Bombyx mori: one gene and its partner. The protein of the gene in region 1 interacts with the protein of each later gene in a pairwise test. Links are inferred from orthologs where the notes say so. Each region holds a gene or a part of one and is shown on either strand. Other genes may lie near its edges.

Evidence for each region.
Region 2: the proteins of U2 small nuclear ribonucleoprotein auxiliary factor 2 (region 1) and splicing factor U2af 38 kDa subunit interact in binary tests that used the Drosophila melanogaster proteins (3 or more experiments, as listed by UniProt). The link is inferred for Bombyx mori from reciprocal best matches to the Drosophila melanogaster genes U2af50 and U2af38.

What each region holds. Positions count from the first base shown.
Region 1 is NC_085123.1:10,731,957-10,734,461, reverse strand, and holds part of U2 small nuclear ribonucleoprotein auxiliary factor 2, read right to left. Parts: intron 1,868-2,505; coding exon 1,783-1,867; intron 1,043-1,782; coding exon 911-1,042; 3' UTR 196-910; exon of another isoform or gene 194-195; intron 1-193. UniProt on the Drosophila melanogaster protein: Necessary for the splicing of pre-mRNA. Binds to the polypyrimidine tract of introns early during spliceosome assembly.
Region 2 is NC_085118.1:11,668,300-11,672,418, reverse strand, and holds the start of splicing factor U2af 38 kDa subunit, read right to left. Parts: upstream 2,801-4,119; 5' UTR 2,545-2,800; coding exon 2,501-2,544; intron 2,273-2,500; coding exon 2,118-2,272; intron 1,585-2,117; coding exon 1,427-1,584; intron 203-1,426; coding exon 3-202; intron 1-2. UniProt on the Drosophila melanogaster protein: Necessary for the splicing of pre-mRNA. Binds to the polypyrimidine tract of introns early during spliceosome assembly.

The sequences.
Region 1 (2,505 bases):
CGATTGGTCAGTAGTAGTCACAAAACATTTTCGTCTTGACTTCGTATCAAACTATAGGGCGCTAACATGAAAATAAATTCACAAATTTCTTATATTTTAATTTATTTTATTTTTATAGAGATCGCGTGTTGTGTAGGTTGATTAAAATAATCAATCAACTTGCGTGCTCAAAATTCATTTTATTTTATTACAGGTGGCAATGCGGTTCCCGCGTGGGCAATTAGCTTGATGGCTGGAATTGGAATGTTGATCATCGGTGGCGTCTTATATGTAGTTATGAGGAAACTCGTTCTATCTTCGGAAACGGGTTCACTGAATACTTACCAACCTGCTATGCAGCAAGAAGTATAAAACTACAGTTTTTTTTTTTATAATGTACCTACGTTAAAACGATTCGAATTTGAAACTTTTTAATAAAAACACATGATTCGAGATAAATTTATTTATTCATAGCAGTTACAAACGCGCAATATACTTTTTAGTTAATACTTAACATGTCAGTTGTAGTGAATTGGTGACGAAAAGCATGATGCTCCAATTCACATGCATTTTGATAGATTTAATCTCTGTCGTTTGTTGAATGTGCTACTAGCATGTGTCATGTATAGGTCTTGTGAAAAAAAAAAAACTTTTATTTTCAACAAAACGTGACATTTTCAATTTATAGAACTTGTAAAATTAATTATCAGTCGTAATTGAGTAGATCACAATTAAATCTGTTCATTTGGTAGTTAAGAACTCACTTTTACAATGAATCGTTACAAGCATTTATTTTTAAATTTAATTTGTTCTTATATGTTTTTAATGTAAACTAATGAAAATTAAACTTCTTTCAAAAACAATGTTGAACATTTTCTTACACGCTAGTGCAACAGGACGAAGTTGAAGTGACGGTAAAAAAAATATATCTTTAAAACTCTCTGCGATGATATTTGTCAGGATCGAAGTAGGATGTGACGACGACTCTGTTACTGAACTTGCGTCCTGTGAGCGTCTGCTGCGCTTTCTGGCAATCTGCAATACTGTTGAACTCGACAAATACCTGATAAAAAAAACGTTTTTTAACAAAAAAAATGTGGATTTTATTCGTTTATTCCAGTCTTTTTATTTATTTATTGCTTTGATGGTTGGACGAGCTCACAGCCCACCTGGTGTTAAGTGGTTACTGGAGCCCATAGACATCTACAAAATAATTGCGCCACCCACCTTGAGATATAAGTTGTGAGGTCTCAGTATAGTTACGACGGCTGCCCCACCCTTCAAACCGAAACGCATTACTGCTTCACGGCAGAAATAGGCGGGGTGGTGGTACCTACCCGTGCGGACTCACAACAGGTCCTACCACCAGTAATAAATTCCATAGTCGTATATATGGACCTCTCTTATGTTGGTTTATTACAATGTGAATGTCACCACCTACCTTGAGATATGAGGTATCTATAACATTCAATTGTTTAGTGTATGTACTTAACGACTTTCCTACTAATTCCTAAATGAAAACTTCACGACAGAAATTTAAAGTGTGGCATGTTTATGATAATATGATATTTGAGTTTTGTAGAAATCATCTCATATTATTTCTTATAGCTACATTTATAGACTCGATTATTTCGTATAATTTTATTTTTATTATTTATCTCAGTTTAAAAATATGAGAATATTTTGATGAGCTTGTTATATCAATTTGTACAACTAATTTATTTTGACCTAAAAGTACATAGAAGCAGTAAGACATACTCAATTATGATTTCCAAACCATTAATTTTAAATATAAATATTTACCTTGCCGCATCCAGGTACTTCGACTCCTTCAATTGGTCTTGGAATTTCTATACTACGCACAACACCATATTTGTTGCATTCCTCCCTGAAATACCATATTTTTAGTGAGTCTCATATTCATTTTTTATAGCTAGGAATGTACAGTAATAATTACATTACTAATTCTTTTTTTGTTATTGATTTGATGGGTGGACGAGCCCACGGCCCACCTGACGTTAGGTGGATACCGGAGCCCATAGACAACAACAACGTTAACGCCGCCACACCCATTGAGACATGAGTTTTAAGTCTCAGTTTTTACAGTACAATGGCTGCCCTATTCTTTAAGTCGAAACGCATTACTACTTCACGGCAGAAATGGACAGTATTGTGGGACCTACCTAGGCAGGTAATCACACAAATTGGGATTTTTGCAGGTTTGATTTTATTACTCAATGTTATTTCTTCGCGAATTTTTGTTAAGGTACACAGGTAAAGGTTTTTTTTATTAAAAAAAAATTGATTGAGTATAAAAAAGAGTTCCATTAAAATTGTAAACTATAATTTTCAAAAAGAAAGAAGTCTATGAAAGAAATCATTTTTGTTGTTTCATTTATATGACTTGTACTTATGTTCCATGCAGTAACAATTAAAAAAAAGCTTAAATAAATGTGAATAGTTTATCAGGAAGTTATTCTTATTTCTATTTTATTTATTTATTTTTATTACATTATGAAGAATAAT
Region 2 (4,119 bases), on another chromosome or scaffold:
ACCTTCTCAGTTCTCTTGAAATAGGTTTCAGATGCATGAAGTTGCAAAATCCACTTCGGGTGCATTCTCCCATCTCATACTGACGACAGCATGCTTCGCGAAAATCCGTCACCGGCGAGAGTTCTGCATAGACTGGCCGGCCTCCAAACCAGCGGTTATTTAAATCGTTAACTGCTTTCTCAGCATCTTCCTCTCGACGAAACTGAAACGAAATTTTAATAATGTTCTAACTTCTATTGATACAGGAGTACAATTATCAATAAGTAATTTAAATAAACTAAACTTATACACTATTTTCCATAATAGCTACTTAATTAGGCAACTGGTAATAGAGCAAATTGTGTACTATTTTTGCCATGGCTTTAAACAGGGACCAAATTTTAAACCTAGAAGTAAAAGATCCATGGATGTCATTATCGCTTAAATCATAAGACCATTGTCTACTGGTACACTGCTAGTAAATGACAAAATGCCTAATATTGACCTTAGTAACTATGCAGGTGTTCAAATTTCACAGGCAAGTACATTTTTTTCTTGTGAAACACATAATTGACAGGTGACTTCCATTATGAAAGAATAACATGAGATTAAGACCCCATGTCCCAAAGAGGGTGACAGCATTCATGTGGTGATATCTATGTAATCACTTAAAATTTGGTAGCCAGAGCTTATTTGACTACAAATGTAACAAAACAATTTAAGTAAAGAACTGATTTCATAATTATAAATTTTAACTATGGTATTATGGAAGCCCAAGGTATATGATCTGACGCTGCCATAAAAAAAACCTATTCGTTGGTAGCCTAAGGGACTATTCCAACTACGCCTGGACCTGTAGGTGAGCTCAGTGGGCTCAACCTGAGTGAATTTGCTAACATTAGCCCTAACAAGAGCAGTGATTTTCATAATCTACAACCAAATCGAAATCGCGACCCACTGAGAAGATCCGCCGAGAAACACAGTGGGCCGTGTCTACGGGTTAGTTCGCGCGTCGAACTCTTCGTCGTAATCCACAAGATGGGCGACGACGGTGATCGGTGCTTCAGGAGTCTAAAAGGACCGAAAGTGGATCTGGGGGATCCGACAAGACAAGTTCTGGACGACGGCGACTTTGCGTTGCCCCTTCACCTGGGTCGGATAAGTAGCACTTTTAACCACTAAAACTACCGTAAACCTTTCTCTTAAACATTGGTAATACCCTTGCCTAATATATCTTACACAATCAAAAAGAACCTCAATTGGTTTATGCTTACTTAGCTTAGAACTGAAAACACTAAAAGATGAAAATGAATTATGAAGAAATGAGAAAGACTAAAATTTCAACCTTCATTCTTTTCAAGATTAAGTTACAAGTACATTTTGCACTTATATTAATTAGTAGTCCTGTAATTAAAAAAATATATATATAGAATTTAAAAATACTTACTTTAATATAAACATTTCCAACTAAATGGTCCCCAAGATTGTCACAAACATTCATTTCTTCTATCTCACCATATTTATCTTCGCATTCAACAAATACATCTTCAAAAAAGTTGTCATAGTGTTCCTGCATCTCTTCATCAGACACGTTGGCAACAACCACTGTTTTATAAATAAAATAAATTCATTTGAAAATTATCTTCATTATTATTTGATATTGTAAATTGAAGTACAAACAATTTAGCTTTAAAAATACTTTATAAATTCAAACAATGAAGTAATGACACTCATTTTCTGTTTAATATTCAATCATAAATAATCAATAAAATTATAATACTATCACAAAAAAAAATTATTTACAATGTAAAATGTAAAGAATCCTGCTCTCCAAAACCAAAATAGGTTTTGACTTAATGAATAATGTGTGAATACATTTAGAAAGCTAAGCATAAATTTATGTCATTTTAATTAATTCATATTTTATGAACACGTAATGTATAAACTAAGGCTGGACTGTACATATTCTTTCAGAAACGTATTTTCCTTGTCCACTGCTTTTAAATTATGTTATGTTCCTACACTTCCCCGTTTTTGTCCCCGTTTATGAATTTAAAAAGAATAACATTTAGAATTTTTAGAAAGAATTCAATGCCACATGATCAATAATTAACTTAGTATGAATGAAAAATACTTACAATGACTGCCATCGGCTGATTTCGCAGAATTTTGTGGATTTACATACAAGTTTTGTAGTAATACAGTCTGAGAAAAGGTTGGCTTGTTATGAATGCGTGAACAGCGATCACCGTGTCGGCACGCTCCAATTTTGAAGTAAAATGAACAGTTTACTCTGAAATTTCACAAGCTATTTATGTAGAATAATATCCTAGTCTCTGTTAAAAAAATAATCAGCAATGGTAATAGCTCTAGTAAAAAAAATAAGTGTATAAAGCTCTTATCAAAGCGGGTTCGAATTTTTACTGACACACACGCAAAACATAACCTCTTGATCCAAAATATTTGGCGCTAATTTACTTCAATGTTTAACAATTTAAATATTTTTGCAAATCGAACTTACTTATCCTTTTCTGTACCAAATATAGCAGCCAAGTACTCTGCCATTGTTATATCGTAGAAACGAACACCGGATCAAACCAATATTGTCAGCAGATGTATCACCAATGTAGGTATTTAAACGTATAATTCAGATAACAATGTGAAAATATCATTTAAAATTTCTAATTATAACTAGTATTTAACTATTTAAGACAATCATGTCAAATGCTACTGGTATATCTAAAATACCGAAGAAAAGTCCATGAAATCTCTGAAATTAAAAATTGGCTTTATTTGCAATGTTGCCATAAACTCCATACACTCTCCGGCAGTAAAATTATTACCTACCAACGCTTAGGTACCGTAAAATGGGGCGATTAGGGATTAAGAGGTGATTGAGGAAAAAACCAGGAAAATCTTTCGACGCTCAATATTAGTTTTAAATTCGTTGCAAAATCTTCCATTTTTTGTAGTTTAATAGTAGAATGTTGAAATTTCACACAACAACTCTGAATACGCAAGATAATAGCTGCTAACTTATAAAAAATCGCGTTTCGAATAAACTTCCTGTGGTGGTAATTATTTTAGTGCTAGAAACTTTGCTCTCTTTTGTTTATTTGTTAACTAGCTGTGCCCGCGACTCCGCCCGCGTGGAATAGTGACTTTGGGCAGCAGTCTTAAGACATATATTTTGGTTTATAAGCACCGTCATTTAGGTATTTAGAAAAATCTAATTTAAAGTAATGCTTCTCTATACACGATATGACGTATAGCCATCGAGGATCAAAGCATACAGATTGCTAGGATTGCTAACATGTGACAGAGCTACATAACCGTGTGACGGAGTTGACTGTGTGAAAAGCAGTTAACACTTATATCTACACCCACAACTTTTAGCGTCTGACCTTGGGCTTTATTTATTATCATCACGAAGTATAGGCTCAATGGAAACGTGATCGGTAGTGAGTTGTGCTTCCCGTTCTTCTAGTGTCTCCCGAGACCGGGCAAGCTTTTGCTGTCCGAACCCTCTGAGAGCCCAGACGGATTTCCCTATCAATTAAGGGATCAGACTCAAGCGATAGTGCATGAGCCTCGCAATCGGCAGAGAGACGTGCTTCTCGTTCTTCAAGTGTGTCCTGAGACCAGGTAATTGCTATCCGAGCCCTCTGAAAGCTCAGACGGATTTCCCTATTAGTAAAGGTCTCAGACTCAAGCGATAGTGCATGTGCCTCGCGATCGGCAGTAAGACGTGTTTCTCGTTCTTCAAGTGTCTCCTAAAACCGGGAATTTGCTGTCCAAACCCTCTGAGGAGCTCCGGCGGGATTCCCTATCAGTGAAAGTCTCAGACTCACGCGATAGTGTATAAGATTCACGATCGATGGACAAACTTGCGTCACGCTGTTCCCTCTTCACCCTAATTCGAGTGGTCTTTTTTGAGAACAATGTGAACTCAATCGAGATTCTCGCTGAGCCGAAGTTTCTCTAACACGAAACCTCGCCTGACGTTCCTGAGATGTAGTGAGTATTGCCTCATGACCTGCTTCAGATTCTTGTGATCAAACTAATTTCATCCTTTTAGCATTCCTACTGCACTGGGAGAGGTTGGATCTTTTTCGAGGCATGCTTACAATAAGTAGTACC